Linked DNA regions of Oreochromis niloticus. The protein of the gene in region 4 interacts with the protein of the main gene of each other region in a pairwise test. Links are inferred from orthologs where the notes say so. Each region holds a gene or a part of one and is shown on either strand. Other genes may lie near its edges.

Region 1 (7,862 bases), on a different chromosome or scaffold from region 4:
GTTGTCTACTTCCTTCGAATCGTTAATCTCCGTTTCTACCCGTTTATGTTTCTACAGTGGAATCACCAAGATGATCGCTTTAAAGTCTCTGGGTGATGGTTTTGTATCTTTGACTTACATTGTCAGCTTTGTGTTCATACCTAAATACTAAGAGAAAGATCACATTTGTCCTCATTAGGATTTGTGTTAGTGTGTGAGGCTGTATTGTTAAGAGGTGAGTATGAGACAGTGAGTTTTAGATCATTTTACAGAGTAACATTAAAGTAATGTAACAAGTAGTATAACAAATGTCTTTCTCCTGGGAGTAATTAAATAACGTACTGCATTACTTTTAAGAAAAGTGTTCTGTGTAATATGTGCAACAACTTTTTACATTTATTTTTTTGAGTAGTGACCCCAACACTGATCACAACAAAGAGGGGAAATGCCTCCAACACGCACAAACATTTCACCACGTAGTTAATTACATACGTAATTAATTTGCATGTATTTGATATGCTGCTTAGAGGTGCTGGCGACTCTCAAAGTGGAGGCAATGAGAAATCGATAAGGAACCGAATCAATAAGCAAAATCGATAAAGAAATCGGAATCACTAAATTCTTATCAATTCCCATCCCTACTGCTATTTAACTTGTCCATTTCTCCTAAGTCTATAAATAACATGTCAAACTGTATGCTAGCTTTTAAACACTAATGTTCTTAAGCATGAACTTGGTGTTTTTATGCATTTTGGTGTGACAACGAAAAAAAATTTTTTTAATAAAATTTTGGCATTCCAGATTTAGCATAGATAAACAACATCAGAATTGACGAAACTAAACAGGAAATATGATGATGCCAGGGAGGTGTTAATAGGCTGAAAATTATATTCTCGTCTGTTTAAAGAAGGAAAAATGAGCAGCAGGGGTAAATAGCAAGATGAAGGTACCACAGAAGACAAGAGAAAAACCAAAAAAATAAAAATAAATAAATAAAAGAAAGACACTTCGAGAATGCATGAGTTGCACTTACCACAGGACACTTTTTGTGGCGCTGGTGGTGGAGGCAGAGGCAGACTTTCCCTGCTTGTTTTCTTGGACTTACGGCTCCAGCCATTTCCCCTCTTCTTCCTCCGCCTACTTGCACATGGCCCAGCCACAGGAGTGTAAATACCTGAAACAAAACATATTGACTAAGTTCAGGAGTCCAAGACAAAAAGAACTGCAAAGGACTATTTATAGCTTTTCATCCAAATTTTACTGCTCATATTTGATCACAACTTTCAACAAGAAAAATTCCTGTTAAGATCATGGTGTGTACACAATGTTCTTCCCCACACAACACACCGACCAAAAAAAAAGTTTTAACCACCAAAAATTATTTTTAAATATTATTATTTTAATTAGGGTAATAATCACTGACATATAATAATAGTCAGAAATGCACAAAAGGCACCGATTTATGTGGGGAAAAAAAGTAGCAGCTTCATTGCCTTAATGGTAGAGGGACACATTTTGCATATAAGCAGAGTCAATCAGGGCAAAGAAGGCCAACTCTGAACCACAAAAAAATCTGGCACACACACACACACACACGTTTTCAAATCATCATTAATCAGCTTGAAAACACTTAAGACCGTACTTCGGGTTGGCCAAATACTAAAGAGCAGTAAACTTACCAGTTTCTAATTGATGTGCGAAAGATGTAAGAGGAGTTTCTGTCTCCCTGCAGCTGCTACTTATTCCAGAAGTACACACCGACTCCGTGCTTTCTATCTCATACCTCTGTACAATTCTCTCTGGAGAAACTGAAAAGCATAAAAAACACACAACACATAATGGCAAACTATTTGAGATCAACTACAGCAGGACATAATCTCAAGATCCTCACCTGTCCTCCTTTTCTTGTGGGACACTAAGGGTAGCAGGTCATGACGGGTAAGGACTCTTAGAAGTTGCAGTAGTGGTGCCAGGTTTCCATCACTAAGGTATCCTCTCCTCTCGAGCTGTAGCAACAGCTCAAGGCCACTCTTGGGTTTTGGATCCAAAAAGGGCTGCTGTGACACCGTAGGCTTTAATCGCTGCCATGCTTTTAGCAGCTGTGGACTTGGGGCCACACCTGGATCATCTGGATTGTCCTCACGGGGTTCAACTGTCCAGCCTGCTGGATCGAGAGGATGTGTTGCGGAGCAAGTTTCATTCAGAAGGAATGACAGGACTTCAATGTCAGTCTCTGTCAGCTGAGAACCAACTACTTCAAAGACTTCATGGAGAGACAACATCCCATAGTAGTTGAGGCACTCTGTTTCATCCCAGTACAGTGAATCCCTGAGCGGGTACCCTTGATGATGCACTGCAGCCATGGTCAGGATTTGGTTATGGACCTTTCCCACTTTTCAGCCAGTGATAAGACTACAAAAACAAATACAAAAACAATTACTATTAAAGGTTTTTAATGTCTAACAAGATACATCCGACTAACCATATAAACCAGATAAGTAGGGTTAGGTACTGAGCTGGTACTTTTGAGGGAACTGACCAAAAAATGTCAGTGCTACTGTTAATCAGCACCAAATTCTGGTACCAGAAAAAAATCTGGGTTAGTGAAAGAAAGAAAGTAAGTGTCAATCCTGCTACAACTGAAGAGGAACAAATGACAGGGCAATGGTAGTGGTGGAATGCTGAAAGCATTTTCAGGTGTGGTTACATGTTTCAAAACTCTCTCTGACACTTGTAGCGCAAAGTCCAAAGCAACACATCTAATCTGCATTTACACCTGGTCAAACAAAAATAGATCTAAAGCTGAAGAGTGTGCCATATTTTCTAGCCTGAAAGCCAAATTCACCAGAGGTCCTGCAGCTTTAACTCTAGCGCAACTGTAGCCAAAGTATAAGAAATCGAACCAATGGATGACAAAGCTTTTAGTGAGACATTGACATCTTCTTCAGGTAATAACTAGGTAGCTGGACAAGATGTCAGATAAACAGGGCTGTTTTCACTGCATTTGTTGACATTTTAACTTTTCAGCTGGTCATTTGCGGCAAGCAAACACCTTATGAGTGATGATATGTCCAAAATATTATTATCTAATAAATTGCCAATAATAGCACAACAACATTTTACACACCGCCAGCTGCCTCAGCTGTGAAAATGACCATCAGTGTTTGTATACAACAACATTAAACAGCAACGAAATAAAATGTTTCAACTGAAAAGTATGGACTTATTTTGTATGAGAAACTTTTGGATTTAAAGTATAGGGGGGAAAAGGTAAAAACGCCAGCATCAATCATCAAATGTAAAAGATAGTGAGCCCCACCCAGTGTACAGTAATATATTGGGATTTTTTTTTTTGCACATCTAAAAAAATTACTTTTTAAACAAGGTTACTGAAGGTGGAGTTAATTAACTAAAGACTATAATATATTTACTAAAGGACGTGGCCAAACATAACAGAAAAATTCATGTAGAGTCAGGTTTTCTTTAACAATTAGTGGATCAAATTGTCCGTATGTGCATAGTCACCCTCCCCTAAAGGCCTGTTCTGAGCTAGGAAAAACCCTGTAATCTATGTACACATAATGGATTGTACTTAGCGTTCCTGTAAAGGCTGCAATTCTCATTTAACAGGTTTGACCTCGAGTTTCTTCCATGTTCTATACTCCTACTTTTATTGCATTACATACGTAGCACTAAAAATGTCATCTGTGTCTGTTTAAGCTATAAAACGCTGCTCCAACAAAACGGTCAGACAAATCCCGTGTAGCTACATATAAACTGTATTTATCTATAAAACCCAGCAGGCCGTTTGTGCTATGTAACACAGTCAATGATCATGTTGGCGTAATACTGCAGCGTTACGCCCGTTCTCTAGTCTACAACCATTATATGGCTGCATCAGCTAGCTCAGCAGTCCTTGCCATTTTCACCCTCAATTCGAAACATTTTTTTAAACACGTAACGGAGGACCCCCTTATAACCACTTTGTTTCCATTCAGGTTCAGTAACACACACTAACCAGTTGGAAGCCAAAGATAGTAGCCGTTCTTCAGACGCCCAGTAACAACCGGTGAAGCAAAATTTTCCCCTTTGACAAGTTATGTAACCAGTCACGTTTGTCTGTGGAAAAAGCATAACAAACATCAAGAAGTGCAATGCAAAAAGCGGTTTAGCCAAATAACAAACCTGAAATTAACAGGTGTGCTACATTGCTAAATACGTACTGAAACACATAGGATTAACTATACGATTAAAAAATATTTTTTTTCCTCTGTATGCATTAGCGATACATACAAAGGACAGAAATGGATATCGCTTGCTAGCTCCTAACGTTAACTTACTTCAAATATAAATTGGCTGTAGTATCGACGAGCATTGGGTCACATACATGAAAGCGTGAAAAAATGCACCAATAGATAAATATTCAAAGCATTTTAACGCGATAATATTCAAGAAAGCCAAAGTAACTAGGGGGGACTCACCTCCGAGTGGGCTGAATGATCTAGTAACTTCCACAGCAACGTGCAGTTCTGCACTACGTCAACGCGGAGGAATTGACCAATCACAGCCCTCTGACTTCCACGGCGACGCCCAGTCACGTTTTTGCTCTCGCTGATCTGCCAGTCTTCTTTTGAACTGATCTGAAGACAGTTTTTCCTAAACAGTCACTTTGTAGTATTGAGCAAGTCAGTAAAGACAGCTGATTCAAGGGCGCCCCCTCCCCCTTTTTTAAATTTTACTTTTTTTGTCTTAGCTTCGACGTGAAAAAACAAAACAAAAAACAAAGCAGCACTTTAAGCGAGCTTTGCTGCGAAGTGTCCATAAGCATATAATCACAAGAATATATGTACTGCTGCAGGCTACACCCAAACATAGGAGAGGGAAAACTGCTGGATGCTGTCAGTAGGTGGCGGTGTTTGGAACCAAGGCAGCTAGGAACAACAACAAGGAAGGCAACTAAGAGCCACATCATATCCGTAAACTAAAACAGCAACAAAAGGTCTGAGGCAGTCCCGTTAAACTCATCTCCTGCTGTGAGTATATGTAATTAAACCATTGTAAATTTGGCAGTTGATATCGTTCATTTTTATTTCGGTTCATTTTAATTAGGTGTGTAAAGTTGGGGTACGATAAAATCATAAATCCGCTTCGGCTGGAGTGGTTGTTAGCAGAGAAGCTAACTGCGACAGTATTTGTACAACCAAGAGCTATTAAGAACAACTGGGAGATATGATGGACTATATACCGGGGTTTAGAAATGCCATTCAGTTAGGATACTTAACTGATTAAAAATAAAATAAGTGAGTATTCGCTGGAAATTGTGTTGTGGAATATCCGGGCGTAAGTTTAGTGATGTGGCATTGACCAAGCCCTCTTGCTGACGAACATTTTCCTCTGCCTACTGTTGCTAAGCTCGGTCTTTTGAGTGTTGTTTCTTCAACCTCTGGGAATGACAGGATTGAGAAATGCAGGAATATAAAAACTGGTGTTGGTCACGAACTTCATACACTGGCTGATCTATGTATAAATACCTTAGTTAAGAATTTATCTGGAGATAAACAAAGAGAGGGAATCAATTAAGTGGTGCCATCACGGCGCCCTTCTTCTCCTTTTGACTGTTCTCTTTAGGGGTAACCACAGCAGATCATTTCCCTCCATCTCACTGATTATATCCTTCACCACATCCATGAACCTTCTCTGAGCTCTGAGCCTCCACTCCTTCCGGCTTCACTGTTACGTCTGCCTCACTTTCAGTCACATGTGTTCTGTCTTACTTCTACCGAGTTTCATGCCCAGATTTTGGTGTTATAATATGATGGTTTAAAACAACTTATGCTGCTAAATATAAATGTCTAATGGGAGTCAACATCATAAGTATGTGTAAAATTGCATAGCAGTTTTTTGTGTGTATATAAAAACAAATTGGCACCCCTCAAATAAATTTAATCTCTTTTGCTAATTGAGGTTTATTATAGTCAAGCTTAAAATACTTTTTTTAATGAGCTTCTCAGGAATAACAAAAAATGAAAGGCATTGACAGCAAAAGTATGAACCCTAAATGTAAACCTATATGAGTCTTACTTTGTCCACCAGTGTTGTTGTGTAGGGGAAGAAAGCTTTTTTTTTTTTTCTTTCGATATTATCTTGAGACCAAGTCAGTTTGCTTGTAGTGGGGTTTTTTTTTCATCTTTTGTCTTTTTGAATCTTGAAGTTTTTACATTTTGATGAAAATTTAAATTTGATAATGAATCAAAATAACTGCCTAGATAAGCGCCTGGTGGCATTTCAACATTTCTGTCCATTGGGGAGATTTGCTTGTAGAGGGACTTGAGAATTAGTGGTGGAAATGTTTTACAACTGGTATTTACATTCTGTGTTTTCTTCCTTGCAGTTGTCTCACAGCAGACTGTGTACATGCCGTCTGGAGTGCCAAAGGGGGAGAACTGTCAAGTGGACATGGACAGCAAGGCAGGAGATCTGTTCACAGCTGAGGATGCTCATCCCACAGGCACAGGAGGCACAGGAATCCTGGCAAAGTATGAGTTAAAATGTGTTTGTCTATCACAGATTTATCACACAGTAGAACTGACATGTGCTTCTGCATCTGTCAAACCTGCTACTAATATTGTAAGCTTACTGAGCCACCAAGTGATAGTATAAATTTTGCACGTAATGTCTTCATCTTATTTCGTAGGCTCTGGCTTCCCAAAGGCTTCTCAGCTAGCATGGCTAAAGAGTGGTTCGACAAGCGCCGATTGTCCATTCGACCTTGGGCCAGTTTTGTAGACCAGCGCAAGTTTTCAAAACCCCGCAACTTTGGAGACTTGTGCCAGAGGGTGGTGAAGAATGTGGAAATTTACAACAGCAACTACACCTTCATCTTCTTGGGGCTTATCCTCTACTGCATGTAAGCCCAAAAACATGACTTTGTTAGGAGCTCATAAATCTGTTTTGGCCAGTGAGAAATGGAAAAAGTAATAAATGATCGAACTGTTGATGTTTCCTCTTTTCAGCATCAGCTCGCCCATGCTACTGATCGCCTTGGCTGTGTTTGCCGGTGCCTTTTACATCATTCACATCAAATCTTTGGAGTCTAAACTGGTTGTGCTTGGTGAGTAAAAGTGTCTCAAATAACTCAGACACCTTCACATAAATACCTGCTTGTTGATTCACCGACAAATAATATAAATGTTTCTTGGGCAGCTGCTTTTAGATAAACCTAGCTTGAATAATTAAACATCAAATTTTAAGTTGGCTATCTTTATTCATCTATTTACTTATTTATTACCACCTTTAATTTTTTGTGTATAGAAATGAAATCAATGGATTAATGAAGCGATCTATTGTATAATTTTTTTTTTTCCCCAAAATTGTTGTTCTCTACTATTACAGTTCTCAGTAGCAATAATGTAACTAAACCACAAAAGGTCTCCTTTAAAGATGTCAGTTTAGTGAAGAGTAAGCTAAATTTATGTAAGGAAAATAAAACATCTTCATTTTTATGGAATCTTTAATTGCTGTCATAATTTATGTGTTCTCAAACCTTCAATTTTAATGTGAACCAGGCCGAGAGCTGAATACGCCTCACCAGATGAGTCTGGCTGGAGCCGTTTCTCTGCCTGTGTTCTGGTTGGCCGGAGCTGGAGCTGCCGTGTTTTGGGTTCTTGGTAAGCCAAACCACATTATACTTCTTCCATGTTACTCTTCTGAATCTTTGTTTTAAAAAAAAATATCAATAATTCTTATTGTGTTTTTCTGATTTTGGAAATATAATTAAACATATTCCACTGCTGTCTGCAATGCTAACATCTCTCTAATAGTGGAACCTAAATCTTGTTCATGCATTTGTAAGAAAAACCTTCTTCTTTGTTACTTTCCCTTCA
Region 2 (6,988 bases), on a different chromosome or scaffold from region 4:
CATATTTTCTAAAAACTTGAGAAGAAGGGGTTAAATTGAATTATTTGCAAAGAATAGGAAAAAAAATGAAAAAGAGAGGTTGCAATTTACATAAAACAAAAAAGACACGAGTATTTGAGCATCAGTGGAGTCAAAGACAAAAACACCAGGGGTGGTCACCTCGTACTGCTGCTCATGACCAGTGAGTCCAGTTGAGGACAGAAATCTGCAACACACTGTAACATTTGACTCAAATCTGCTCTGTCAGTGTTGGGTCCTGGAAGTTTCTGTCTGAGGTAACAGGCTTCACCTTTGGTTGCTTTGTTTGTACAAGTCGTGATAGGCTGATTCCCCTCCTGCCTGTGGCCAGTGTGTATCCTCATGTTTATGCAGAGAGCTGTCTTATCGGTTGATCAAACGTTCAGCTCACAGGCGTCTATGGTTCGAGATTCAGCTATTTCTCTGGATTCAGTCAGTGTTGTGTTTAACCATGCCTAGAAGGTCCTTTGTCGCGTGTTCTCCTGTAACTCCAAAGCATGCCGCCACGCAGTATTTCTCTCCTTGGAGTCCATTTTGCCACCTTCCTTCACCGCCATGCAGGATCATTGGTAAATATGTTCAAAGTATTGAGGCTGAGGATTCTCTTTCACGTATTTCTGAATGTACCAGCAGGTCAGGTGAGCTTTCAGGTCCTCTTCCACCACAAAATCCATGGCTGCCTGCAATGACATGGTGCATAACAGCTCACATCAAAATCATCTGGCTTTTCCTAGGACAATGATTTAAGTGGAAACATATTCGATTCTCACTGTACCAGCTTAATATACCGGCCACTTTGTATGGTACACTTTTTCAGCTGCTCATAAATGCAAATATCTAATCAGCTAATCACATGGCAGAACCTCAAAAAGGAATGTAAACATGATCAAGGAAACCTCCTGAAATTCAAACCGCGCATGAGAATAGAGAAGAAAGGTTGATTTAAGAGACTCTGAATGTTCCTGGTGTCAAATGAGCTGATCTGAGATTTTCAAAAACAAGCTGATCTATGGGGATTTTCCCACACAGCCATCTTATGGGTTTACAGAGAATGGCAATAATCTAAGAGAAACTGGCTTGTGAGGAGAATGCACAGACTGTTTTAAGCTGAGCAGAAGACAATAGTTACAACTTAGATAACCAGTAATTAAAACTCAAGTATGAAGAAGACCGTCTCTGAATTAAGAACACGTCAAACCTTGAAGGAGAAGCGCTACAGCAGCAGAAGACCACACTACGTGCCACTGCTATCAGATAAGAACAGGAAACTGACGCTACTATTTGCACGGGCTCACAAAACTGGACAACAGAAGATTAGTAAAACATTGATGGTCTGATGAGAGTCTTAATCTCTGATGTGATATTGAGAAGGTAGGGTCAGAATTTTGTGTAAACATTATGAAAGGATGGCTCCGCCCTGCTTTACGTCAACAATTCAGCCTGATAGTGGTTTGATGGTGTAGAGGATATTTTCTTGGCACACTTTTGGCACCTTAATACCAACTGAGCATTGCCAGAGCCTACCTAAGCATTGTTTCGTAAACAAACACAAAATTTGGGTTTAAAAAATTACTTTGGCAAGGTGTTTGGCGATTCCTCTCCCTCTATAAGCATCTGGAACTTCGGTGTGCTGCAGGTCCACCGTCTTTTTTCCAACATACTCGTACAGAAGGACCGCACGATCATGGGATCCTAAGAGCAAACACAAATATTATCTCTGGCATAGGTTGGTCTTCACCTCAACTATTGCTAAGATTTACTAATTATCGATTACAAACATGACATAACAACCTGACAACATGACCAAAAAAAACAAACAAAGAACAGAAACCGCAGAAGCCTGCCACCCTGCACACTACAAGTTTTATCCCACAATTACTTCAACGTTTCAGCATTTTAAAGCTGACTCTAAGCGCCCCAGTTACATTATTAAGGTGTGGTAGCAGATTTTAATTTGCATGTAGCGCTGCAACATGGCTGCTGAGAAAGACAAGGCACGAGTGGCCAGGTACAGGCATGCCCTTGTGGAGGAAGGGTCGTGTTGCTGGGTGAAGAAAAGATAAACATCTCCATTCAGCACAACAATGGCTTCCACCATTTTCCTCTTAACAGCTGACCCACAACTGACCAGGACAAACACGAGTACTGACACACTTAAAACAGTAATATTAGTGTGTCGTAAAGGATTAATATCTATTAAAACGAAGGAGACTTAGTGTAAAACTTTAAAATATGTTTAAAGCACTTGAGCTGAACGCTTGAAAGGAAGTAGCACAGCACATTTGGAGGCCTGGCAAATAAAATGGTTACTCTGGAAAGTTGAAATGGTGTTTGAATCTTAATATAACAGTAGGGGCAGGTATTTTGCTACAAAGGAGTTTTACTTGGAAGATTAATACAGGAATTTGTGTATTTGGGATTGTGTGCTTTTCAAATTTGAATACTTGGTTTGAGGTCTGGAGGCCAAATACTTTGGTCTAGCCCCAAAGAAAGAAAAGTAAAGCACCGGTAATGGAGGTAAGGTCAGAAGACAAGCTACGTCTATATGTGAGCAGCCATCTGTGTCTGAAATGGCAGCTGTAGGTATCAATAAAGGAGCAACGACGACGTTAGCAAGAGCGAAAGCTAACACTAGCATCAGCTGGCACGCTAATGTTTACATGTTGAACTCACCATTCAGCCTTATGACAAACTGCCGACGCTTCTTATCGTGTTCCACCCGGATTGGAGAGTTGTTTGCATCAAAGGCATTAGCCTGTGCCGCCTGTGCCATAGTAGCGCCGTTAAAAAGTCACAACAATGACTGCTACGCTACCCTACGGGATTGCTAACCAGAAATGGCTACAAAAGCAAAACACTTCATCCAACGAAATCAGCTGTGAGGTCACGTGACGCGCGGCCAATCGCAGGCGTCGTCTTCAGAGAGGCGAAAACAGAGCGGCTTTGTAAGAAAACTCCCCTCGAGAACTCTAAACGCCTGCTGAGAAACGATAAAACCAACTGTCTGACTCCGAACGCAAACGTTTCATATGCTGCATTCACGTGACGTGGGATCATAAACAGTTATGTCTGTTAAAGACCTGTTAAAGTGGGTCTTATAAAAAGAACTTGCTGTCATGCTTACACGGTTTCGTTTGTACCTTTTCTGCTCATTTTGTATTTTTTTTTTTTTTACAATCCCTGTGAATGATTATATTTTTGCTACTTTATTTCTTTATTATTATTTTAAAATAAATTTTAAGAGAATTGAAATGTAAGTTTTGTTGTTTAATTCTGGTAGGAATAGGTATAGTATAAAGTATCTAAACACAATCGCTATAAATATTGATCGGTTCATCTGTCAATTTAAACTGATAAATGATCGGCCCTGTCCCTAACATCTTCATCTGTCACACCAACCCTCTGCATGCCCTCATTCATGGATGAGGTCTCTGAGGTCTTTTCTTTTCCTCCTCCGCCCACTATCCCTCCCCTGCACATGTCCAGAACAGCTCAGCCTTGCCTCTCTAGCTTTGTGTCCAAACCGCTCGGCCTGAACTGTCCCTCTCATATACTCATTTCTAATCCTGTTCATCTTGTCCCTCCTAGTCAGTGCCAACATCTCCAAACCACACATCATAGCTACACTAACACCTTAAATCACCCCTGACACTTGTCTCCACCCACTCCGCCTTGGCCTGCACTCTCTTCTTCACCTCTCTTATGCACTGTCTGTTGCTTTGGATGCCTGATCACAGGTATTTAAGCTCATCCACCTTCACCACCTCTGCTCCCTCCAGCTTCACTATTACACCTGTCTACCTTTCATTCACACACGTATTCTGTCTTGCTTCTACTGACTTTCATTTCTCTTCTCTCCAGTACAGAGAAAACAGGTTTGTAAAAGTGTATCAGAATTGCATATTCAATATCATATATATTACACTGTTGTGGTTGTAGCTCCTAAACTTGATTGGAACAGCCTTTCTCAGGTCAGCTGCATCTGTGATTTGTTTTAAACAGCTGCTGAAACTCTGAAGTGTGCATGTAGGAATTAATGTAAGAGCTTGTGTTTCACAATATGTTTGTACACTCATCTTAAATGTGTGATTTTATGCAAACTGTGAAGCACAAGCTGTTTTTAAAAAGGTGCCGTACAAATAAAGATATTATTATTATTATAACTGTATCACAGTTACACCTTTCCCCCTGTACGACTAATTTATGGCACTTTAGCTTTCATTTCATGGTGTGATATTTTAAAATATGTTTATTAACAGATATAGAATTTGTCCTTAAGAGGGAAATGGCACATTTGCACACAAGAAGGGATTTTATCCAGACAAGTGTTGTGTCTGAGAAATTGCTCTTGATAGCTCAGGTCAGGTCACAGCTCAGGGATTCGCAGTGGCAGGCGCGTCTTCAGCACGTCAAGCGTACAGTCAGCGGACAATAACCCAGGACACAAACTGAGCGTGTGTGTTTTTCTCCACTATACTCTTGTGCTCATGTGAGAGGAATACTTGACAGACATCAGGAGTAGGCTATAAGGACAATGTAAGCCAATACATTAACTTCACTAAAATTACTGTGTAGTAATCCAGTTAAGCTGTCGACCTAATCCTGCAAAACTCTAATGGAGTTTGCCAACTCGCTGTGGGATTACGTGTGTGTGTGCATGTGGTGTGTTTCTCTGGGACTCTGTGGTACAGACCTGTATGTGATTTGCTCTCTCTCTCTCTCGTGATCTTGCCAGAGTAAAACAGAGCTCACATCTACCAGACAGATCACAATGTGAGCCAAAAGTTCTCGCGTTTAGTTAGTCTCTGTCAGGGTGTTAACCTTGTATGACTGAAAATGATGTCCAAGAAGCCAAGGTAGGTACCTATTTACTTATTTATTACATTAAAACAAGTCGATATGAAGACAGGTATAAACTAAATGTACCTTATACTACAGTTCTAATTTTTGGCTTTTTTTCTCAGTTAAAATAAAAACTTCAGCAGACTTTCATTATGCCTGTTAACCTCATCAAATCAAACCTAGTTTGATGTTTGCTGTTTACTTGGTATGTTATGTCTTCATGAATAAAAGTATCTGCACAGGTTATCATTTTGACCAGCAGCAGTCATCACTGGCTGTATGCTGTTGGGTTTATTTCACAAGCCTTACAGCTCTCTTATAAGTAAAGTATGATATCAGTGCAACTGTTGCAAAACTAGTAATATGAAAAAGAAAGGTAGTATCTTTGTATAGAAGTAAAGAGATAGATCATCTCTTTAACTGTAACCAAATAAAGCAATAACATTAAATAAGTGTTTCGGGAAAGTGCAGATTGCCTGTTGCCAGGATTTATGTGAAGCTGCCTTAATCTTATCTATCGCAGGTGGCAGGAGACCCTGATGAACACTAAGACTAACAATCCCACACACAAGAAAGGGGGAAAGGTAAGTGCTAACGGACAGGTTTAAAACTCACAGTAAGACCGTTTAGTGTTGCTTTTATAGATGTAATTACAGGGATTATTATATGTTAAAATATGTTTACAGATTATAATCCAACAAGTCATTTACAAACATCTAAATATTGTAATTAGGTTTGACGGGACACTGGTCTCATCCTTTTTAAACCCTTCCTTACATACCTTACATCAGGGGTTATCAAACCTTAGGCCTGGGGGCTAGAAGTGTCCCGGCAAATACTCGAATCCAGTCCACTGGATGTTTTTGGAAAATGTTAAGGAGCACATAAATTTTGGACTTTTAACTGTATATCCATGAATTTTACAATCTGTCTTACTGATAAAGACTCCCCCACGGCCATTCACACTACACCAAAGTAATTAGGTAATAGCTAAACAATGAAATTGTAGAAAAGTTCCTGTGTTTTTCACTATCTACAATCGAATTTTTTAAAAATGTGTTCACTGTAAAATAAATAAATCTAATAAGAAATTTTCTGTGAATTACCAAAATGTTTTGTTTTAAAATTACAGGGCAGTCTTGACAACAAGCTAGCAGAATGTTTTCTGTAATTGTAACATTTATTTCTTACGATTTAAGCCCAAGGAGTCGTGCTAACAGATGTATTTCATTACCTACAGCAACATTTCTTTATCATGTAAAAAAACCCGAGCCGTTCTGTTGCAAGTGCGCCTCTTTTTTGTTCTATTTAGATAACCCAGACTGTGTAACCACGGACAGTTCCCTCAGACTGAGTGCATGTTTTTTGTTTTTTGTGAGATTTTCACGCATTTGATTTTGATTTATGTAGCCATTAATGGCTAAAGATCAACGTGGTGCAGTTAAGACCTGCACATATCGCCAAGTCAGGACTTAGTCGAGCATCTTCTAATTGATTTCTCTGTCGTGAGGTCCAGCCGCAGATTCATTACCTCTGCAGTTAGTGAGGTTGCATCTACTGAGACTGGAATAGACCGCCTAGATTTGCTGGCTCTCCCAGTGTGCTCAAGTGTGATTAAGTTTACAGCTTGTGTGTGTGTGTTCATGGTTGCAGTGTCGTCAGATGGTTCTTAAGCAAATTAAAAGCTCCGATCAGGATTAAATGGCCCTCTTCATTGTGTGTGTCAAAGAGGGGAAGTTAGGATGGGAGGGTGAACATGAGATATAAGTGAAAAACATGCAGAACTTCATCATTTTGTGATTGATTTCTCCTCACACAACCACTGAAGCTCTGTTTTCTCTCTCTATCACACACTTACGTAGGACCTCACATCACTACCAGCACTTGGAGGGAAGCAGGCCGGCAGCAGTGTTTCTAAAGCCCGTGTCAGCAGCGGACGGAGCAGCAGCCTGTGCAGAGGCAGCGACTTGACTGCAGCTGTTAGTAAAGTTGGTGGGAGTTTGAAAAGAGGCAGCCTCAGCCACCAGGGCTCTGCTGGCCACCCGGCTGCCAGACAAGCTTCCCACACAGCGAGAGCAGGTCCCCGCCTCTGCAGCAGCCGAAGCTTTTCATCCCTCCACACCACCTC
Region 3 (6,883 bases), on a different chromosome or scaffold from region 4:
CAGGTAAGGACTGAGTTATACTGCCAGAGTGAAAGTAATGGGACAGATGGGTGAGAAACATGTCAGCATGTATGAATTTCCAAAAATATTTTGCATAATTATGAACTCGCGAGCACACGATATGTTGGATGAGCGGCCAACGAGGAGGAGCTTTCTCTCTGAGTGGACCGTTCTACTGCAGGCCTGCACGCAATATGATCGTTCATATTAAACCTCGTGTGTCACTCAGACAGTGCATGAGCAAAAAAATAAATAAAAACAAGCACGCTTAAAATCAGATCCAAGCAGGACACGGGCTGATAATCTGGCAAACCGGGCATTTTTCACGCTGGGCCCACGCATTTTGGGGCCGCTGCAGGCCTTACAAGCACTGACAGCAGCCCATTGGCTCATTTTCACGAGACTGGATTTCCTACTTAAATCTCTCCGCTGCCTCCGCTAAAAACAGGCCTTCTAGTCACGGGAAACTGCTCCTGCTAGCATATGATTATTTGACTTTCTGAACAGGTTTGCTCTTAATGGTAACTCTTGCTCTTAATCAATCAATCAATCAATCAATCAATCAATCAATCAATCAATCAATTAAAACAGATATTTATGGATTTCAAAATCTTGTTTGGTTTTCAAATGTACTTTTTTCAGTGATATCTTTAATAGCAGGAAATTAACTAAGCATAGAATTCTTTTCTTCTTTTTTCAATATTTTTCAAGTAACCTATATTTGACAAAAGCATAAAGAATGGAAATTCTGTTTTTGGTGCGATACCCAATTTTTTTTTTATTTTTTTATTGGTATTATTTATCTGGAGGCGCCCTCGCTAAAGTGAGGAAGAGAGGAAGGAGGTAGATGGATAGATGGAGGATTATTAAAACCTGTTTCAATCAATTTAAAAAAAAAGGAAGAAATGTGTGAATACAATATGGATTATTGTAATACTGATACTTAATTGTCACATGTGATATTGATTTTGCATTTGATAACTAAAGCACAAAACCAAGAGAAAGGAAAGTTTATCTACAGAGAAATAAAGAGGACTACAGCAGGCAGCTCAGGATATAGCAGCCCTCCTTTGTCTAGATTGAGCAGTAAGGAAGGTGAAAGTGTAACATGACATGCAGAGTGACACTGTTTTCTTTTTCTTTTTTGCCTTTTCTTGAGATAAATGTAGAAGCAGCAAATGCAAAGTACCAACCTCTCTGTGTAAATGGATGCGTTTGTAGAATTCTGTTGATTTTTGATCTGACAGACATCTGCATTAGCGTGTTGGTGTTTAAATAAATAAATAAATAGCATATAAGAACAGAACAGAACAGAATAGGCTTTTATTCTCATTGTACATGGAATAAAAATAGAAATAGTAGGACACCAAGAATAAATGACAGACAAGAGGAGGACGGCACGCAATAGAGGACAAGATAAGCAAGTAAAAGCTTTTCTACTGTGGGCAACTTATTTATTAATTATAAGCACTTATGCCCCCCCCCCCCAATGACTGTGCATAGTTATCTATGGTTTAATATTCAACTGAGTATAAAATAAAAGTGAGAGTTCATACATGAAACTTGGATGGAAGCTGACCACATAATGTGCAGAACTTCTGGTTGTTTTCTGTACAAATGGGCGCGCCCTTTGTCTGTCTGCCTCATGCTTCATCAGTGTGCTTTCTTTTCTGTGCCCTACTTTATGATGAAATGTAGCTGCTACTTAAAGAGTTTTCACTAAAACAAACAAAAACAAAAATCAGACTAAGACTTTTTCTCCCAAACATGGTGTTGGATAGACACAAAGGATCTGTTCAGACCTCTGCCCACAGCCATAAACCACTAATTACTTATTCTTTATTTTCCGCTTCTTGTAAAATTAAGAGACTTGAACAATTTATATATTTTGTCCTAAAGCAAAAAACGTACATCTGAATAAATCCAGGTTATTTTTAACAGCTAATACCCTCACCCACCATTTCCTTAACACCACCATTTTGTTGCTCCTTAACTCCACTGACAATTTCAGACTTTAATCTTGCTTCGTATTTGCTGATTTCTCTTAATTACAATAATATGAACACGAGTTTATTCTTTACTTCATGTGATACAAAAAAACCTACAACTCTCTCTGAGTCAAGTACAAAATCTGCATTTGAAAAATAAATTGTGAAACTAAGGAAGTGATAAAAGAACATCTTATTACTCCATAAAACACACTCATACACACATATGTATTTATATTAACATATACATTTATTCAAATCTGATAGTAAATCATGAATTTCAGCACAGCTTTTTAGACTTTTGGTAAACTGTTTATCTTTTTCACTACACTTAAATCTATTTTGGAGAGTCCAAACTTATAACTGCCACACGCAGATTTCTGCACTTCAAAAAATATTTACATCGATCTGAGACGATTGTATTTAGTATAATGATGACATTATCGAAGCTGGTGGATATTTGAAGAGTACATGTGAGGAGGCCTCGGCCTCTAACACAAAGCACTAAAACAAGGAAGTAAATCAAGCTGCTAGCAAGCAAAACAGACTGAAATCATCCAAATATGTTTAAAATCACTTCGGAAAAAAAGCCAGTTCAAAAGGTTTTTATTACTTACCTGTATTGCAGTCCTATTAAACACATTTTTTCCATTTACATCAGCTCCGTTTTGCAGTAGAGTTATGATTTCTAATAGATTTCCAGTTGCACAGGCATTGCAGAGCTGGTCAGAGAGACTCATATCAGGTGTCCCTTTAAAACGCAATACAAAGCAAGCAAACTTATCACCTAAATACTTCAGCAGGCTGTGTTTAAGACTGAAATAATCCAGGATGGTGGACTGGCCAAATACAGAGAAATCTGAAACATGTCCCTCCCACCCTTGCATCATCCTTGGCTTAACCTGTGCAGCTCTTGAGCTGTTACTGAAAAATCATTGTTAATGCAGTAAGCTAGCCTATTGATAATTAGTTAGATGGTAATATATATGCTTTGTTTTGGTTTTTACTGCAAATATTTTAGTGAGCAATCAGTAATTTCTCAAATCTCTTTCTTCAGTCATGTCTTTTCTTAGTTTTGTGTTTCCAATTCTAAAAAAAAAGAAAAGCCAACAAACAAACAGACAAAAGCAAAGCAAATAAAACAATGTAGGGGGTATAAGACAGGTTTAGATTATATGCATCATGTATTTTACATAAGGACTGGGCACCTAATGATATATTTGTAAAATTCAATAGAATCAGTTTAGGGGTCACTCATCAAAAACAAGATGTGCAATAAATCTCCAGCTCTACTGTGTGTCAGAATCAACACTGATTACATGTTTAAAGCTTCTATTTGAGCATGTTATGCTTGTCCAGCAGCAAAATATATGCTGCCTCTCCCACCCTTCCCGAGATACTGATATACTCCATGTAGGTCATAATTAGAATATTCAAAGAAAATAATTTTGCCTATTTTTTCCTGCTCCCCTGCTGATTTTCCTGTGTGCAGATATTTTGTTGATGTCATGTTTGGGCCTGTTTATGGGAAAAGCTCCATGGAACCTTTTCACAATATCTATATGTCAGGTATACAGTAACCCACCTGCAGCCTGAAAAAACGCAATCAAAGCCAGAATTGTGACAATGATGTCTGAATGACAAAAAGTAAGCACAAAACACAACATAATTAAATAGATAAATATAAAAACTTACGTTAAATGAAATAAAAACCATAGCACGCCTTCCTCCTGCTGTTCAGTGCGTGGCATCGCATTTTCCAAACGACTCGAGCTGAAAATCCCCCCGAAAAACAGCCAAAAAAGAAAAGAAAAGAAAGAAAAAAATAAAATGTCGCCTCCACGCATGATTTCAAGCATGTGATGCATTTACTGGCAGTTCCCGCTCGTTTTCAAAAGTAATTCGAGTTTGTATTTCCGTTTTTTTTAACGGGTTACAGGATGAAAGAGGGAAGGAGACACGGAGATGACTTTCGTTAGAAATATCGCGCAGTCACCGTAAGGCGAGCCTCCTCTCCGTTTAAAAAAAAACCTCTCGGATGAATCCAGAGCTCGTGAACATCAACGACAGACGTTCTTTCCAAAGAGACGGCCTGATTGGACGGTTCCTCATTGGCTCATAGGCGGGACGGTTAACGGAACTTCATAAGACGGTAATAATGGTGGTGCCTTCATTCATTGTCCATGTGAATGTTTTGAAACGTCAACGCGCTGGCGCAGACGATGCGCGCCTTTTATTATTACATTACAGATACGGAGCAAGAAGTCTTTTTTTGTAACGTCACGGCCGGTGTGCTTTTAGTTTCTTTTTCTTTGCCGCCCTCTCGTGTAACAAGATGTGCATCTCCGATCACCTCATTTGGTGGGACAGTTATTGCGGACTTTTCACGCAGAGAATTCACGCGCAGTGGATATTTTCTTTTTTTCGGACTAGTCTCTGTAAATCCCAGAGATGCGTGTTTCTGAGGGGAATCCCAGCGGATCAGCTGCTTTTGAAATACTCAGACCAGCCCGTCCGGCACCAACAATCACGACGCGTTCAAAGTGACTTTAATCGCCTTTCTTACTCATTCTGATGCTCAGACGTCAGCAGGTCGGGTTATGTCAGGTCATGTAGACATAACCCGGCTATGTCTACATGGATAAATGCACGGAGTTGCTGCCGTTTGAGATGCCATTAGATTTTTGACTGAAGGAGAGGTTGAGCAGATGTACCTAATGAAGTGGCCGGTGAGTGTGTTTGAACAAATCTCGCAGAAAGCATAAACTTATTATACAAGTAAAGCATTGTACTTGTGAAATTAGCATTATGGTCTCTTCAAACTGGCAAACCAGCTGCCTGATGTGTACATTTTGCTGTTAGCAAGCTAAATATTATAAATTATTATAAATATTATAGTGTCTCCTTCTTTACATTAAAGTCATTCCCAAGTACTTGAAAATGTTCTTTGGGGTCATTCTTATGAGCAGGGGATACAATTGTTAATTTGTTAATTAGTTAATAAACTCGTCTGAAGCAGGTTAAGAACCTTGTTCCCTGCTACATAGTGAAGCAGAGCATTTACAACCTTCCCTCTAGCCACGATGCACATTCCCTTAAGAAAAAAAATGCTAAGGTTTTAGATTTAAAGCTTCAGTTACCTTCAACGTTTTTTTTCTCCATAGAAGGGACATCTCACATGACTTCTTTTACCCTTCAGGTAGAGAAAAGTAAAATATAATTAAAGCTACAGATGCACCTAGTTTATTCTGGGTCACGTTTTGGCATGATAATCCTTTGATACTATAAATGACACAAATTTTTTAGCCTATTTTGCACATTTGTGTATCCAAGGTGTCATTGCAATAAATAAAAGTAATAAAACTTGCAGTTCATTTTTTGTTTTGCTTTCTTCTCACAGGTTTGCACTGGAATCGACAATACTCCAGAGGCAATCACTCTGTTAGAGTTCATGAACTGGGATTTAGTGGTAAGTTCATTATTTGCAGGCTTTACTCTGGGGCATGCACACTGCGATGCTGCTCCCCCAGAAGCTACAGCAAAGTACACTACGCTCGCGTCAGCCTACTGAAAGTTTTGCTTTACATATTAAAGCTTCCTGCTCGTCTCCTTTGTGTATACACCGACTCACGGTGGTCTTCCAGTTCATCCTGTTGTCCAACTTGATGCCCAGGTACTGCTAGTACCCCACATCACATCAACATCACATCAACATCACCATGTCTCTGGCCTATTCACATCTGGGATTTCTCCCATACCTCTCCACAAAATCCAACACATCTGTGCTGTACTCCTGCTCCCGCTCATCTCTGATGTATTTGTGTAGTTCCAAGTCTGAGGCATACAAGGCGAACGGGAATGGAGACATCACCAAATGGCCGAATCACACTTAAGAAATCAAAGAAGCTTAGCAGCTGTTACTGTCTAGATGGAAGTATAACCTCTCTGCAGCATGTAGACGAATGCATCAGCCACTCCCAGATTTGGTTTGTCATGCAAACTGAAGATTGTGGCGAGATGTGCTGTGTCAGTTGTTTTAAGTGTTTTAGGGCTGAAAGGAATGCCCGGCTTCAGTGTAGTTCATTTGTCCAGAAGTTCTGACTATGCAAATCTGACGGGAAACTGTAGCCAGGCACACCCACAGCAACTGGAAGTTACAGTTAAGACAAAGAGTCTTGTTCATAACTGCTCCGGCTATGTTTAGTCCCAGTGACTGCCAAAACAGTTTCCAGCTGTTTGCAAACAAGTAATGTGAGACATTCGAAAACCTACACAGACTTTAGTCAGATTCAAAGACAGTGCCTACACGGTTCACTGAATGCCAGCTATAATGTGTTCAGTGATGATGATTGTGCTCTTCATGCTTTTTAATTGTTTCTTGAAGTGTGAAAAGAAATATCTGATATAGATTTAGATTCAAAGAATGAGCATTTATTTAATATCTGACATTAGAGCCACACACAAAAACAACATGCTAGATGACTTTATTTTGCAGTCAACAAAACTACAAAGGAGATGGTTGTTACATTTTTCTTTTCTGTTCTCTTTGGTTCTGTCACTCTTCTTCTTCTTTTGTGGGTGTTTCCAATTTCCACTTTTAGATATCAACCAGTAGGAAGCTTTTACAATATGGTGTGTTTAAATTGTAAATGGAATAGTTTGTGTAAAGTGTTTTTAAGAAAAATATGTCACTGAAGAGTCTGTGTGGCTTCTTTTTTTGGAATTTAGTCAGTGTTGGTTTCCTGAATGAAGAATATGAATTGTAAATGCCGGCAAAGCCGCTTTACCTTGCGCCTTTATTTTGAAGAGTACCTTAGCACTTCCTCTTTTATTGTGTCACACTTCCTGTTCTGCTCTCAGTGAAACCACACAAACACATTGCTTCAGAGTGAGTG
Region 4 (7,797 bases):
GATTTACAACTACAGAAAAGCTTCTTTCCCCAACTTAAAAGCCACTTTGAGTGATGCAAGTGTATTCTGATTGGTCCGGGTGTGAGTGTCAAACACATAAATCGAACGACCACTAAACAAAGGTGACATTAACATCAGTAAAACATTAGCCACGTAAACAACAGCTGTTAAAGCAAGGCTTAAAAAGAAGAGGAAAAAAACACAAAGAAAAATCTGCAAATATATGCAAGGAGGAAGAAGAGAAATCCATCATTAAGTTTGGATATATTATTAACAGAAACTTGCTGTTTCTAAAACAAGAAAAAAAGATTTAGATTTGGAATATGGTGTCTTATATAGGGAAAAATCACACTGAAGTTGGATCAAAATGTTGTTGTTTTTTCCTTTTTCCATATTCAAACTTTAGTATGTGTGAAATTATTCACCCGACTTAGTTTTAAAAGGATATTATGTGCTTTATGCATGAGAAACTGTAAATAAAGTATCAGTCCTCTACAGTTTCTACAGCCTTCGAAATATGCTTTCAGTGATAGGATATCCAATTATTTTAAGGCCTTCAAGCATCCATGTTCATAGTGCCATACTACCTGATATTTACCCTAATAATGACATTTTAGTTTTAGTTGGGAAAAGGGGCTAAACACAGCCTTACTTTCAACCCCTAAGAAATAAAATTTATAACATATATATATTTGAAGTTTCTGTAAGTTGTCCGAATGCAAACTGAAAAAAATCTTTGGTAATAGTTATAGTCCAAAAGCAGCTTTGGATTACCTGTGATGACTTCAAGTGTCTGTGGGTGATTTCCAACTTTGATTAAAGCTAAACTCAAATTACAATAATGCGTGTTTGGAAGAAATAAAACAAAAGTAACACATATATGACAAAACTACCAAAATGGTCCTTGAATTTAAAGCTTGTTGCTAATCGGTGATGTCTGAACACAACCTGCTGCCTGAATGCTGTAGGGTCGTTCCACTGTCGCAAGCCTTCAGCTCCTCCATGATCATGTTTAGTTCCTCTGCGCTTCTGACCGTGAATTCCAGTTTGTGACTGTGGGAGGCGGCGCCGAGAACCTGACTCAACACCGACACCTGACCGCTGCCTGATGCGACAAAGAAAAAAGCAGTGGGGATGAAATGAAGGTCAGTGAATAAGCATCATGTTCATATCTAATGATTTAAGTGCGAGCATCACATTTTACATTCAGAGAGACTTCTCACCAAGTCCTCCAACCAGCCAGTCGTTCACGCCTCCTTTCACGCAATCCCATGAAGTGTGAGGGGAAAAGACCGCTATGCCAGCCTCCACGGCCCGCACAGCCAGCCGCTGCTTCCAGTCTTTCTGAACCAGACGCTTGATTGGCCGAAACAACGGCGGGTGATACGAAATAATGAGATCGCAGCTCACAGCCACTGCTTCCTCCATGACGGCATCTGTGAGGTCGTTGGTTAGAAGAATGGTCTTAACGGGCCGAGGTTTGCTCGGCTCCACCAGCAAGCCGACATTATCCCAAGACTCTGCAAGCGACAGTGGAGCAAGCTGCTCCAAAACCTGCAGAACTTCCTTTAACTCCATCAGACCGGACGAATGAGCTGAGGAGAAATTAAAAGATGGAGGAAGGCGAGCTGAGCTTTGTGTGCTAGGCAGGAAGTGATGACTGTGGGTAGATGAAGAAAGAGAATGAAGGACGGATGAAAAGGCAGAAGAGCACAGAGCAGCTCGGGACGTAAAACTCTGTCTAGGCCAAAGTCTTCTACTGGTGAGCGAGAAAAATGTCCAAGAGAGATTTCTACATCCAGTCAACATCAGGGGAGATCTGTGTGGACAAAAAGAAATAACTAAATAATCATAAATGTCAGACATTCACTCATATGTGACGGCAGGTTTTTGTACAAGGCTGAAACTAACAATTGCTGAGCTATCATCTTCTTCTTCTTTCCACTGTCCACTTCAGGCGTTCACCACAGTGGATCATCTGCCTCCATCTCACCTCGCTCTAAAATCCTCATCTGCATGACCTCCTTCACTACATCCATGAGTCTTCTCTGTGGTCTTCCTCTTCTCCTACTGCCTGGCAGCTGCATCTTCAATATTTTTTGTCTAATATATCTACCTTCACATACATACCTCTGCTCCTGGCAGCTTCACTATCACACCTGTCTTACTATCGTTCACACAGTGTTCTTCTTAATCTAGCTTCAAAAACGTTTTCTCATGTCTTCATGGTGTCATCTTTAACCCTCTGTGGTCCCTCTTTGTAATCTCTATACCTCCATAGGATTCTACTGATTTCCTGATCAAATTATTAGATGTCCTGTCTATGCTGAGTCTATTCTCAGTCCCAGCCTGTGCTGCTCACACTGACGCCTTCAGATCTCACATGCACTGAATGTCTGACATTTTTAAAAGAAAAAAATGTAACTTAATCCAGTGATCGGTTTTGTATGGTTTTATACGCATTTCCACCTTTCCATTTCTATTTCCACATGGATACAGATGTTGTTTCTGCGTCGCTTACAGACTCCATCCAAAGTTAAACACAGTTAGCAAACAAATACAAACAGACGGCTACAACTCTTAAGCGTACATTTTTTTAGTCCGGAGCAAATCATTCAGTAAAAGCCACACACATGCACTTTATGATTATTATAAACATTATTCATAGACTTAATACCAGCTGCTTTGAGTTGTGACAGCTGCAAAGCGTGCAGCTAACAGCAGAGCTAGTTAGCTGCCATTAGCTGCCACAGTAAACCGTCCTTTAACGTCACCACACCAGCATGTCAATATGTGCACGACTCAACTTACTGTCGCTTGTTTCTCACGGATGAAAACTAATAACACTATGGTTTTCAGTTTTTAGCTAAATACATTCTGGTGAAGTGGCAGAGGATGTACTTACTACAGAACTCGCAAGATGTCCCTTTTCGGCTTCCGTCCGCAGCAGCTTTTTTTTTTTTTTACTTTAATGAATGAATTTATTTATTTATTGATGGGGTCAAGTTATGTCTCTGGCCGTGACCATGAGCACATATATATATAACTTACAAAGTAAGTATTATAAATTAGTAATACTTTTTTCTTGTTTTTTATTTATTACCCAAAACTGGCCATTGCGCCAGCGACAAAGAAACTACAACTTACATGTAGGAAGGACTGAGCGCATGAGCAACAATACAAAGAGGAAAATAGAGAATAACAATGAATAAATAATATTAACATAATTACAAGTGATATTAATTCAGCCCAAATGAAATAAATAAATAATAAAAAATAAAAACAGAGCTTTGTAAATGTTCATTTTCTGTGACTTTTTAAAGTTTCACATATCCTTCATAAAATTTGGAGAAAGATGGTTTTAATATTCAGGAATCTGCATCGATGAATAAAATAAACAGTATTATCAAGACTTTGTTGAACTCCAGCTTGGGAAAATTTGGTTATATATTTGGTTTGGTTTGGATTTTGTTGGAAAGAGGAACTGGTGTAAGTTTTACTCCCCTTCTCTGTTTGGCATTTGTGTACATCTCTTCTATAATTGGTTTCAGTGCTGCACAGATTGTTGGACGCTGATAGAAAAGACCTCCTGTGTCATCTTTAGTTCACCCCCAGGTCTTATTAGTCTACACCTGAAGGCGCTCTGGCGTGACTCTGATGCAAGATTAGAGGCTGTGTCCATTATGCTGACAAGTTTCCTCAGCACTGAGAGGACAGAAGTGGATTTCCTTAAGACCGTATTGAGTCAATCAGCTGTGCTGTCCCAGTACACTACAGCATAAAAAATATGACGCTGGCCACCAAAGAGTAAGAAAACAACAGACGCATTGAAAGATTCACAAGTGGCTCACTGTTTAGCTACAGTATTCATTTAAAGGAACAAAACTTGTGCACATTTTTCAAACAGAGGCCAAGAGGAAGTTAATTAGCTGAAGGTGAAGCAGCTTACTGATCTCTTTATTACAGGTCGGACGTCAGTAAGACTGAGAAGCACAGAATTTCCTCATCACTCACTTCTCCTGTCCCACTCAGTCCTTTCTTTTTCCGTTAAGGTAGTGCAAATAGCAACAGATTTGTTGAAGTATTTGTAGCAGTGGAATAATGAAATAACAACATTTGAGCATCCCAAAAAAACAGTTAAGAAAAACAATATTTCTCAAGTCGTTACGGTTCGGCTTAGTGTTTTTCAACAACAAGCTTCTCGGTGTTTATAGCGCTGGTGTTATGCAATATTGTCTGTACGCAATGTTATAAAACAAATTCACAGATTAATGTGAGCAAGCAACAACTGAATGACTTTGATAAGCTGTATTTACTCTCACAGGGCAGGTGCTCCAGCAGCAGATACCCCGCAGTGCATCCGACTCTTCTCAGAAAGATTAAAGCTAACCAAATGAAATCTGCCTGGGGAAGGGGCTATCAGTGCAATAAGTTAAAATGGTAAGGCTTGTTTTTTTGTGTTTTTTTAATGTGTCTGGCTGAGAAGAAGTCACTGGGTATAGAGGCTACATCAGAATTGAGTCTGAGAGCAACCAAGAGAGAGATTACTGAGGATTAATGCAATAAAGGTTGACGCTGGATGTTAGAGGGATCAGGAAGGATCAGGGCAAAGGCCAGCCAGTGAGCATTACATCATCGGATTCTTCCTCTGGACTCATCAGCCCTCGCTTGGCACTACATCCATAAGGTTAAATGTGCCCCCCACCCTCCTCTTTAAACACCCTCACTTACATTAGTGTGCCATTAATAGCAGTGAAATCTTTCCTATGTCACTTTTTTTGTTTCAGTGTCTCTCTGAGTCCCAATCCACATAAAAGAACAATCATTTCAAAATAAAAGTATTAATATTAATACTAATAGTAATAAAAGACGAGATATTTAGTTACTTTTCCATTAAGCATACCGACAGAGCGATCACTCTCTCTGTGGAGCACCACTCACAGATGTGTGTTTAGTAATTAGGTTCACTTTTGTTCATTGGCAGCATAAGTCCTCATGCCCCATCTGTCTGTCTGTTTGATGCTGTGCCCAGTTTGTCATGCAGCAACATCTGCCTGGCTGGTGTTCCCCAAATGTGACAGTACAGTGTGTCCCGTAGCACATCCCTGAATTCAGCCCCAATATTTAATCCCAGCTGCGCTGGCTCTGGATCCGTATGACACAATTACTGATCACCAACTGCAAGAATGATTTAGTCCACAGGTTAAAAAAAAAAAAGAAAGTGTTCACGTGCCACAAATTTCACTCAACTTTTCTTTTCCTTTCTTTTTTTAATGGATATGGGGTTATAATACTCTTTAATACTATTAAGCTCCTCTCTGTGTTTTATGTCCATATTTCCGTGAAGTTCCCAACTTACACAGAGTATTAACCTCAAATAATGGCTCAGACTGTCTCTCTAAAAGGACAGATTCTGGGACATGAACCTCTTTTTTTGTTTTGGGGGAGGTTTTTTTGCTCTTAATACCTTTAAATCTGTTATGCATCAGTCACAAAATCCCAAATTTCTGCCTCTTTTCAGTTACAGTTTCTTATTGTCCTTCCAAAGTTTTTACTCAATCCTAGTAGAACAGAGTCCCTAAACTTTTTCATGTTTAAATCACTTCCTTCTGGCATGAAATGACTGCACATTACTGGAATGCAAGAAGTCACAAGGACAATATGGTCTACGCTTAAATGAGTCAAGTGTCTGTGGGTTTCTTTCAGGCGGACACAGAGAACTTTCTTGTTCCACAGATACTCCTGAATCCTTTTCAGATGTTCAGATCAGATGTTTTATTTTGTGCTTTGCCAAAGAAAGGCAGATCCATGTTACTGCTTCACTTGTTGGAAGTTAGTTACAGATTACCTAATACAACCAGCTCAGGTTAATAATGTACAGTACAGTAGTAGCTTAACTTTACATCCTGCTTTGTTGTAACATTGTTTAAATGGTAAGAATAATTCAATAACAATACAAATATAAAAACAATTCCAATTCAACAAACTTCCACTGTATACAGTATATATCAGGGTTGTCAAACATGAGGCCCAGGGGCCAGAGTGGGCCTGGCAAAGACTACAATCTGGTCCACAAGATGCCTTTGGAAGATATGCATACATTTTTGGACTTTTCAATGTATTGTAACAAGTTTTGGAGTTTTTTCCTGCTGATGAAGACTTTCCTCGTGCCCATTCATTCTACACCAAAGTAATTAAGTAATAGAGAAACAATTAAACACAGAAAATTTCATTTTTTTTCACTATTGACTATAGAAGTTTCATTTTTTTACAATAAGTCCACAAAAAAGGACACTATCTGTGAAGTAACAAGAACTTTCTGATTTTTTTCTGTAAACTTACACAGTTATTTCTCACAATCTTGCCCAGAGAGTCACGCTGAGAGGTTTCTTTCATTTACCACAGCAGCATTACTTTATCATGTGGAAAAACTGAGACACACTTGCACTTCTTTTTCTTATATTAAGATATTTCAGTGATTAAATATATACTTAGACTTCTTTCCACTGCCCACTAAGGATCAACTAAATGAGTTTGACATCCCTGGTATATATGATGAAACATAACAACAGAGTTTTTTTATTTTAGCACTCTTACATTTGAAAAATCATTACAAATTGTTATTATTTGCATAGCTATAAAATCCGCTCTGAGATCAGTCTGATATTGCTTGTTTCCAGCATGTAATTTTAACATTTCTTGTGTTTGTGTTGTTTTTGCAAGCCCAGAAAAGAACAGCATCAGTGTTAGTGCGTGTTTGCAGAGGTGCAAATGAATGTTCCTGACTGGCCTTGTCCTGGACTGTCATTGATGGGACATCATTCTGACAAATTCTGCAAAGGAGAAGAAGACGCGGATCAGTTGCTTCACTTCACTGCACTGTTACTCTTTACTGATGTAGGCAAAAGACAGTCTGTACCTTCAAAATCTACTGTGCCATCCCCGTTGTCATCGGCCTCTTTCACTATGGCATCGATTTCCCTCCGGCTCATGTGCTCTCCCATCAGCTTTATCATGGCTGATCGCAGCTCCTCTGTTGTGATCTCTCCATCTCCATCCATGTCAAACTAACAAGAGGCAGCAAACAGCAGAGAGCAGCTTTTAATCACAGCTGTGATGATAATGATCGCCATCTAGCAGTCCAGAAGGCAGGTAGCTGGAAAGTTTCAGAAAAAGCTCTTCAATCTCACCTCTTTGAAGGCATCTTTCAGCTCCTTCATACCGATCATTCCAGACGTCTCTGCCAGCAGTTTCGGGGCCATCAACTCCACAAAGTCGTCAAAGTCGACTCTGCCACCGACTAGAGGGGAAAAAAGGTTTGACATGTCTGTGGGCTTTTCTGTCTCTCATCAAATCTAGATTAAAGCAATGAAAACAGCCGCTAACTATGGGATTCCTCAATAAACTCAACTTTTAAACAAACACTTTTTTAAGGACTCACGGTTCATGTTGATATTTTGGCTCAGCTCGATCAGCTCCATCTCAGTGGGCATATAACCCATTGTCCTCATCAGGTTGCCCAAGTCCTTACAGCTGATCAGTCCGTCCTTGTCTTTATCAAACTCATTGAATGCATCACGCAGCTCTGCAGAGGTTTAAAGTAAAAAAAATCAAATCAAAAAATGAAATGTGCAAAGTGTACAAATGTAGGTAAAAACCAATGACGTAGTCATAAAAATGAGAAAACAAAAAAATATTACCATCAATCTCATCATCAGCCAGCTCTCTTGTCTGCACAAAGAAATAATAACTGCTTAACTTCAGTATAATATGAACATTAAGAAGAAACACTGTGCT

What was found.
Region 1: the proteins of nif3l1 (region 4) and rabac1 interact in binary tests that used the Homo sapiens proteins (3 or more experiments, as listed by UniProt). The two-hybrid records come from large-scale screens. The link is inferred for Oreochromis niloticus from reciprocal best matches to the Homo sapiens genes NIF3L1 and RABAC1.
Region 2: the proteins of nif3l1 (region 4) and natd1 interact in binary tests that used the Homo sapiens proteins (3 or more experiments, as listed by UniProt). The two-hybrid records come from large-scale screens. The link is inferred for Oreochromis niloticus from reciprocal best matches to the Homo sapiens genes NIF3L1 and NATD1.
Region 3: the proteins of nif3l1 (region 4) and cyclin-dependent kinase 4 inhibitor C interact in binary tests that used the Homo sapiens proteins (3 or more experiments, as listed by UniProt). The two-hybrid records come from large-scale screens. The link is inferred for Oreochromis niloticus from reciprocal best matches to the Homo sapiens genes NIF3L1 and CDKN2C.

What each region holds. Positions count from the first base shown.
Region 1 is NC_031976.2:24,028,022-24,035,883, reverse strand, and holds the start of rabac1 (prenylated Rab acceptor protein 1), read left to right. Parts: upstream 1-4,858; 5' UTR 4,859-5,012; intron 5,013-6,370; 5' UTR 6,371-6,393; coding exon 6,394-6,515; intron 6,516-6,673; coding exon 6,674-6,886; intron 6,887-6,992; coding exon 6,993-7,090; intron 7,091-7,544; coding exon 7,545-7,646; intron 7,647-7,862. Other genes in the region: dedd1 (death effector domain-containing 1), read right to left, coding at 1,013-1,153, 1,659-1,787, 1,871-2,342. UniProt on the Homo sapiens protein: General Rab protein regulator required for vesicle formation from the Golgi complex. May control vesicle docking and fusion by mediating the action of Rab GTPases to the SNARE complexes.
Region 2 is NC_031969.2:14,164,973-14,171,960, forward strand, and holds the start of natd1 (protein NATD1), read right to left. Parts: upstream 3,020-6,988; 5' UTR 2,792-3,019; coding exon 2,692-2,791; intron 1,711-2,691; coding exon 1,592-1,710; intron 699-1,591; coding exon 582-698; 3' UTR 1-581. Other genes in the region: plectin, read left to right, coding at 4,855-4,874, 5,384-5,444, 6,723-6,988.
Region 3 is NC_031986.2:43,639,702-43,646,584, reverse strand, and holds the start of cyclin-dependent kinase 4 inhibitor C, read right to left. Parts: upstream 3,017-6,883; 5' UTR 2,879-3,016; coding exon 2,606-2,878; intron 1-2,605. UniProt on the Homo sapiens protein: Interacts strongly with CDK6, weakly with CDK4. Inhibits cell growth and proliferation with a correlated dependence on endogenous retinoblastoma protein RB.
Region 4 is NC_031973.2:16,633,395-16,641,191, reverse strand, and holds the start of nif3l1 (NIF3-like protein 1), read right to left. Parts: upstream 3,006-7,797; 5' UTR 2,906-3,005; exon of another isoform or gene 2,812-2,905; intron 1,820-2,811; 5' UTR 1,810-1,819; coding exon 1,224-1,809; intron 1,106-1,223; coding exon 949-1,105; intron 1-948. Other genes in the region: cabp5a (calcium-binding protein 5a), read right to left, coding at 6,805-6,833, 6,920-7,067, 7,191-7,300, 7,442-7,585, 7,701-7,731. UniProt on the Homo sapiens protein: May function as a transcriptional corepressor through its interaction with COPS2, negatively regulating the expression of genes involved in neuronal differentiation.